Arabidopsis thaliana: one gene and its partner. The protein of the gene in region 1 interacts with the protein of each later gene in a pairwise test. Each region holds a gene or a part of one and is shown in the gene's direction. Other genes may lie near its edges.

Evidence for each region. The genes of interacting proteins can lie anywhere in the genome.
Region 2: the proteins of AT5G09830 (region 1) and AT2G20270 interact in a two-hybrid assay, tested with the Arabidopsis thaliana proteins (one study listed by BioGRID).

The regions. Positions count from the first base shown.
Region 1 is NC_003076.8:3,057,103-3,060,584, reverse strand, and holds AT5G09830 (BolA-like family protein), read left to right. Parts: upstream 1-1,759; 5' UTR 1,760-1,815; coding exon 1,816-1,875; intron 1,876-2,459; coding exon 2,460-2,482; intron 2,483-2,570; coding exon 2,571-2,769; 3' UTR 2,770-2,982; downstream 2,983-3,482. Other genes in the region: AT5G09840 (Putative endonuclease or glycosyl hydrolase), read right to left, coding at 1-1,558; AT5G09820 (Plastid-lipid associated protein PAP / fibrillin family protein), read left to right, coding at 3,205-3,482. UniProt on the Arabidopsis thaliana protein: May act either alone or in interaction with glutaredoxin as a redox-regulated transcriptional regulator, or as a factor regulating Fe-S cluster biogenesis. The GRXS17-BOLA2 heterodimer binds a labile, oxygen sensitive iron-sulfur cluster.
Region 2 is NC_003071.7:8,737,136-8,741,558, reverse strand, and holds AT2G20270 (Thioredoxin superfamily protein), read left to right. Parts: upstream 1-1,898; 5' UTR 1,899-1,941; coding exon 1,942-2,228; intron 2,229-2,338; coding exon 2,339-2,412; intron 2,413-2,975; coding exon 2,976-3,131; intron 3,132-3,290; coding exon 3,291-3,317; intron 3,318-3,481; coding exon 3,482-3,558; 3' UTR 3,559-3,773; downstream 3,774-4,423. Other genes in the region: AT2G20280 (Zinc finger C-x8-C-x5-C-x3-H type family protein), read left to right, coding at 1-34, 582-773, 862-992, 1,089-1,191, 1,305-1,505; PSAE-2 (photosystem I subunit E-2), read right to left, coding at 3,915-4,019, 4,097-4,162. UniProt on the Arabidopsis thaliana protein: May only reduce GSH-thiol disulfides, but not protein disulfides.

The DNA.
Region 1 (3,482 bases):
AGTCCTTATCCTCTTTATGTTTGTTTCCACTTCCCTGACTTGATGACTTTAAGTCATTATCCTCTCTATGTGTGTCTCCACTTCCAGAAACGCTCTTCATTTCTGGGAGATGCTCTAATTCCATCTCAGGTGAACCATACCACAGTCTTTTTAGCTTTTGAAAAAAGCCATCTTCCATGGACGAATCACTCCACGCAACAAGAGCGACTTGATTCGTCTCGACGGGTTTAACATTTGCCTTAACATCCTTCTGGCCGACCAGAATTGGGTCTTGAGAACTCTCTGATGATTCTTCTTTAACAATTTTATCACTCTCCAATACCTTTTCCTGCTTCTTTCCAAGTAAGCCATCTCTTCTTCTTTCAGCAGCAAGCTCTACATCGCTAATTAGCTTTGGTGATGGAGCATTAACAGTTTCCTTATCTTTAATCTTCTGATCAACAGCAGTAGACAAACGAGGACTAGAATCAAGCCGCATCGGAGGCTTCTTTTCGGTAACAGCCCGAATCATAAACAAGCCTTCACTTACTGTAGTAACCTGTAAGATATCTGGCATGGATAAAAGAAACTTCGAAAACTTCTTATGTCCATAGAAATCTTTATCAATAGCCAAGTTGCTCTTACTCAGCTCAGCACGTAGTTCTGTAATGGCAGCCCCCTTGGGATATAAACTCACTATCGAACGAATCTTATCAACAACTTCTTTTGGAATAGGACGAAGGTTAACAACAGCATTCGAATTCACAGACTCGGATAGTTCTTCGATTTTCACACTAGACGAAGATTGCTCAGTAGTGGTAGCAATAGCAAATGGATCAAGAAGAGGAATCCTATAGTGACCATACCAAGAGTTATAAGGACCATCAGGAGGCTGATTAAAATGCTTACCAGTAACACACTCTCCTTTAATCAAAGCATCCCAATCCCACATAATAGAAGCAGCACTACACAAAACACCAGGAGCTGATGATTTACTCGCAAGCAAAATGTTGTAATTGTTCATCCTCAATCTATGTAACACACTTGCAAACTCCTTATCACTAGAGATTAGCAAAAGATGAGCTGGTGGTGGATTCTGAGAAACCCAACACATAAGATCTGTGATTAGAGATCTATCAGCACTGTTCTTACCACCGTTAGGAACATGAGTGAGACTGATTCCTGTAGCGGAGAGAGCGTCTTGGTTTGATCTGGGGAGCTGTAAAACGTCACCGAAGGCTGTGATTGTGATTGGTCCTTTGATTCCGCTGTTTCTGATAGCGGCGGTGATTGATTGTGCTACTTTGTAGACATTGGTGTCTACAGGTAAGTTACAGCTCAGGAAGTCCCACCAGACCGAAACCCTAACGGATCGGGACTCTTCGTCTTGCTGAGGACGTCGAGAGGGAGAATGGCTGGATCCGGAGACGAAATTGGAGCCGGAGGTGGTTGTGGTGGAGAATGGAGAGGAATGAATGTTAGTGATGAAAAGGGTAATTGTTCGACGGTGAGATTGGGTTGTGGAGGAAGAAGAGAGGCGGAAGAGAAGGGATTTGGATGGTAAAGATCCAAACTTCATGGTCGGAGAGCTATTTTTGCTCCGGGAAATGGAGAGACTGAGAGGGTTTTAGGAGTGAGGAAGACGAAGTAAAGGAAAGCAGAGCTTAAACCCTAGTTATTATTTTGGAATTGTCGATAACCGAATGGTATCCCAATTGAACCAAACTAAACCGTACTCTCGCTAAACCAAAACCAAATAGCGTATGGTTTAATATTCTAATTCAATGAGTACAGTAATTAGGGATTTCAATTTTTGTTTGAGAGAGAGAGAGAGAGATGGTGACGAAGGAGCAAGTCGAAGCTTCATTGACTTCGAAACTTAAGCCAATTCATCTCGTGAGTGTTCTTATACTGCTTTCTTCTTTCAATTTCATCTATTGATTAGGGTTTGAAACTTTTGTGGGAAACTTTGAAACCCTAATCATCAAATTGATCTGGGAAAATTGCCAAATTTGAGATTTTTGACCTGCTCACTTTGATCAAAATCATACACTTTGATAGTTGGATCATAAGAGGTACTATGTATTGTAATAATCTCAGCATCTAGATTATACATCACTATGTGTTGTCTTTCAGCTCTGAAACAGAATATAAAAGGTGGTTGTTTGCGTAGTTAGGTGTAATTTGATGCAGTGTGATACTGAGCTCAGGATTTGATGACGTAGTGTTCCTGATGTATTAGCAACTTAGTAGTGAGTGTTCTTGTCGGAAAATTTTATTTGTGTCATGGTTTTTTGTGAACTAGAACTCAAAAAGCAGATCCAAGGATGTGTATAGTTTCTTTGCTTTATAACATGTGAAGATTGAAGTTACTTCAATGTCAATCTATTTCCCTTTTCACTTGATTCATGTGTTCCAATTGTTTCAATCTTTAGCTTTTAGAATTTTTTAGTGACATTGTTTGTTTTTGTGTGTACCAGGAAGTCATTGACATATCTGGAGGGTAAGTACCGGATTGTCAATACACATTTGATTCTCTGGCTTATGGCATAATTTCTTGTTCTTAATATCAGCAAAACTGTTTATTGCAGTTGTGGTTCGAGTTTTGAAGTGGAGGTTGTCTCTGAACAATTCGAAGGGAAGAGATTGCTGGAGAGGCATCGTATGGTGAATGCTGCGCTAGAAGAAGAAATGAAAGAGATTCATGCTCTCTCTATTAAGAAAGCTCAGACTCCACAACAATGGAAGCCACCATCACAAGACTCTGCAACCTTAACCAAAGATGCCTGAATTTCTGTTTTTTAAAAGCCTTGTGACAAAGAACAGAGCATTTACTATGTTGATACTTTGTGGTTACTGTACTCCGATTACTGCTTTTGATGAAGTGTAAACACTTTTTTAAAACATATGCAATTGGTTGCAAAATATAACAAAAATTGGGTTTTTCTCAATTTAGATGGAGATTTTTTTGAGAATTTTACCATGACACCATCTTAAAAAAGAAAAAAAAGACCAATGGGATTGGCTAAATTTTATAATAGAGTCAGTGCAGTGTATGGTGGGGGGGAGAGATAGATGCTAAAAGATGGATAAAATAACCAAAAAAAACTGTCCATTCTCCTCCCCATAAATCTATCTCTCTCTCTTTTTCCTCAAATCCCATCTTCTTCTTCTACTTCTTATTAAGCTCCATTGGGTTTAGAGATTCTGGTGTATAAACTGCTAATGACGAGTAACCTTTTCCAGCCACCATCAATGGCAGCTTCACGAGGAGCAATCTCGAGAAGAACAGGAAACGTGAAAGTATTAGTCTCTTTCACCAGTTCTAATGGCAAAACGCTGAGTTTTAGTGACAACTCATTTAGGCTCAGACCCATGTTCATCGGGAAAGTCACAGAACAGAGTTCTTGTTCCTCCCCAAATGAACAACAACAAGATGAAGAACAAGAACAAGAACAAGAAGAGATTACAGTTTCTCATATAAAAGAAGAGCTCTACGAAGC
Region 2 (4,423 bases), on another chromosome or scaffold:
AAATGAATATAATCAGAATAAGCCAACAGATATCGTAAGTTGTTTCTCTTATCTTGTGTTTCTCGGACTTTTTATTATATGCTTGTCGGGACATGCTTATCAGTTATTAGTAGCTTTTCTCTTGTTAATGCACTGTGAAAATGTCTGAACTGGTTTGTGTTCAAATATACAGCCTTTTAACGTGTATTATGTGAAGTGATGCATTAGTTTTGGTTGCACTTGCTGTGATTAACCTTTAGCTGATGTGCATTCGCCTTACGATGCGCTTCCTTTAGCTAATAGCACGGTTCATATTAAGAGCCATTAGGGTCTTAGATGTTATTATGCCTCCCGTTGTTCCCTTGTGTTTTTCTGCGCACTTGGTTCATGCCTGACAAGAACTCATGCTTTTGGTGATGTTAGTGCTAATCATAATTTTGAAATAAATGTTTCTTAACTATATACGTCTATGCTAAAAGAAATAATATCTCTGCGTCTCATCTCAATAATCATCTCATAAACTTATCCTAAACACATGAGTTATTTGTCTCGCTGAGTTTTATTGACTTGTAATTGTTTTTGTGTTTACTGAAAAATAATAGGTTTGCAAGTATTTTCTGGATGCTGTGGAAAAGAAACAGTATGGGTGGTTCTGGTCATGCCCCAATGGTGGCAAAGAGTGTCATTACAGACACGCGCTTCCTCCTGGATATGTCCTTAAATCTCAAATGAAAGCCCTCTTGGAAGAGGAGTCATCGAAGAAGCTGGCAGTTGAGGACGAAATCGAAAACGAGGTTTAAAATACTCCTCAAGTTTCCCTCATAGCTGCTAGGACCCGGTACTTGATTTGTGAGACCCATGTTTTCTTGTTCTATGTTTCAGCGTGCAAAACTGCAAACCGCAACACAAATGACTCCTGCACTATTTATGGAATGGAAGAGGAAGAAAATTGCTGAGAGAGATGCCGGTTTGGCTGCTTCTCAAGCGGAGAGAGCTAAGAACGACCGTATGAGGTAATCCCCATTCATCATTCTGTTACATATCCATCTCCAGTGTGACTCTATTTTTGTCCTTGGAAGCTGATTCATTGTGTGGATTTGTAACCTCAGTGGTCGGGAGCTGTTTCTGTCCAATGCAAGCTTGTTTGTGGATGATGCTGAGGCTTGTGAAGAATACGAGAGGGAAAGAGAGCAGGAAGAGACTGAACAAAAGGTGAGCTCTCTCTCTCTCTCTCTCTCTCTCTCTCTCTCTCTCTCTCTCTCACTCACTCATCATTTAAAACAACCAAGTCATGTTAATGGAATCTTGAGTTTTTTGCTTTTCAGGCAAAGAACAAAGAAGCAGAGGCAGGGACAAGCAAGAGTAGTGGTGATGCTGAACAGAGTTCGAAAGAAGTCAATGAAGAAGAAGAAGATGACGATGATGATGATGATGACCTAGACATGGATGAGCTGGATGAATTGGAAGCAAGCTTGTCGAAAACATCGATCCAGATTCGTGAGCCAAACGACGAAGGGTCATCTTGAAATGAAAAATGGTCTAAGAGGAAGAGGTGGAGGAGAGAAAGCACATGTTTTGTTTTTGTGTACTTTCAATAGATTGGATTTTGCAGACACAAACCCCATTTTGGGGTGTTGAATAATTTCTGTTACTGTTTTACAGTCTTAAATGGCCTCATCAAAGAACTAGTAGTATCTTTTTTGTCCAATCATTTTCATCTTTCTTTGTTGTTGTTAATTTTATCATGATGTGTAAATAAAAGGTCGTAAACTTACTAGAGAAAATAAAAACTACAGAAATGTATTAAAAACAAAGAATTTTAATCAATTCTTATGAATATTTAGTTGTTTTATTGATATTTATAAATAAAGAACAAAAAATATCGGCGATATAAAAAGAGGTAAATTAATCTGAGGGCAAAAATAAGAAAAGCATCCAATTTCGTCGGAAGAAGAAATCGCCATGGTAGCCGCAACAGTAAACCTCGCGAACATGACATGGACGTCGTTAAATTCAAATCCAGCAATCTCTTTCTCCATGTTAAGCGGAATCAGAAACTTGGGCATGTTACCTTTCAGGAGATGTCTAAAGCCGACAGTTATCGGAATCGCGTCGTGGCCACCACTCCGTTGTTCTTCTGTTAAGGCTATGTCTTCATCATCGTCTTCGTCTGGATCGACATTGGAGGAGACTGTTAAAACGACTGTGGCAGAGAACCCTGTCGTTGTTTACTCCAAAACCTGGTGCTCGTAGGTTCACTATACTTTTTGGTTCAATTAGAGGAATGGGTTTTGTTAATTTATGATCTAGTTTGTCAATATTGATACTTTTACTGGGTTTGTTCTTTTTGGTGGTGAAGATACTCGTCTCAAGTGAAGTCCTTGTTCAAGAGTCTTCAAGTTGAGCCACTGGTTGTTGAATTGGATCAACTTGGTATGCTCAATTCTTTACTTTGGTTTGCTATATGGGTCTGAGTAGTTTGCTATATTGGTTTTGATAATGTGTGTGATATTGTTTATATCGATCAAGGAAGAGCTGGTTACAAGTGCCCTAATGTTTCAGCATTTTGACTGGATGAAATTAATACTTGTTTCCAACTTCTTCTTGTTTATCTTCTGGTTCATTTGGCTGCTTGCTTGAATTGGTTTGTATGTTTTTTGATTAGATTTTGATGGAGGATTGATGATGGTTAGGGGGGTTTCTAATGGCCTAAGATAGCTTTACATTTCAGAGATTCTGTGTCTTGTTTATGTGAAAAATTTACTTCCACTGTAGTTTTCCTTGGACCAATGACTTGTTGATGAAGAATCAACGGGTAGGCTAGTACTTCTAATGGCTTAAATTTTTCAAATTGAAGATTCTTTCCTGCCTTTGAATCTTAGACAGTATGCTTCTATTTGTTAGAAACTATTATGTTGCTATCTTCTTAGTTATCTTTTCTCGTGTCAAGATTTGGTGACTTTCCAAAACCATTTGTTCTTTCTTGTCTTGTTTAGTTTCTTTGGGTAAAACATCTCTGCCTCATGATATTGGTCTGAAACATTTACAAAAGTTTTGGTGGTTTTTGGCGTTTCCAGGTTCAGAAGGGTCGCAGCTGCAGAATGTGTTGGAGAAAATTACTGGACAATACACTGTTCCCAATGTTTTCATCGGTTAGTTGTTTCATCATTTAAGCCAGTTACTAACTATACTCTGATCATTTTTCTTGATTATTTTGCCTGAAAACAAAACTATCGATAAAATCTTAGCCACTACATTTGCTATGACCATCACTTATCTAATTTTGATATCATGTTTTTGTTCATGACCAGGAGGCAAGCACATTGGTGGCTGCTCAGGTACAATCTCTCTTCCTTTCTTACCTCAACACCGAGATTTTTCTAATATGTAATTGAGATCGTCTTTGTGTATTTTGGCACCAAGATAGATAGTACTCAAGATCTTGCTCAATGTCTTGTGATTTTTCTGGTAACTTGACCTGCATATCATTATTGTTGAACAGATACATTGCAGCTGCACAATAAAGGAGAGCTGGAAGCAATTTTAGCTGAAGCCAATGGAAAAAACGGTCAGACCTAGAGATTTCTAGAGATGAAACTGGTTGGTGATTCTTCATGTTTCCTTATTGAAGTCGAGATGATTTGCTGTTTGAATTTACTGTCTATATAGAGATTTTCAATAAGAATCTTGTGTTTCTTTCTACGTACAAAAAACAGTCAATGAGTCATGCTGGGTTCTGTTACTAAACCGGAGTTGCTGAGTTTGATCCACACTACTTGGAATTTGCAATCATTTTTGGGTGGCTAAATGCATATTTGGAAATCGATCTTGAGATTGTAAAAGATAAAAGATGAATTGTTGGTTAACTTTTTGGTACATACGGTTTTGTTTAAGATTACAAACAGACGAACCGGTTTAGAGATAAACCATGTCTCTCATTTTACTTCTTCCACCTCGTCCAATGCGTAGTTGTTGGTCGATATATTCGCGTAATTCACCTTGGCGAACCGGACCACAACCGGATATCGGGTCTTCGGGTCCTGACAATTTAGACCGGAATATAAGATGAAACGATATCTAACCGTTAGATCGTTAACTTCAAAAGTAAATGCATTACCTGATCAACGGCCACAACTGATCCAACGTTCTTGTACCAGTATGATTCTTTCCTTAGAATCTTGACCTGTAAGTCCTCAAAATTGTTTATAAATTTCACAGTAGCCCTATAACTCTTAATATGTATACTAAATAGACCCAGAACTTATTGATGATACCCAGTTTAGCTCAAATATTAGTCCAATCTTCTCTACTAGCATCTAATTAAGCTTGAATTTTCTTCTACCACAAGGGTTAGTTCCTTTTAATCCTGATCTAGAGGTCCAAAAACTTCATATAAGTTTCACATTGACCCCATACTTACAAAATTATTCTAAATAGTCCAGAA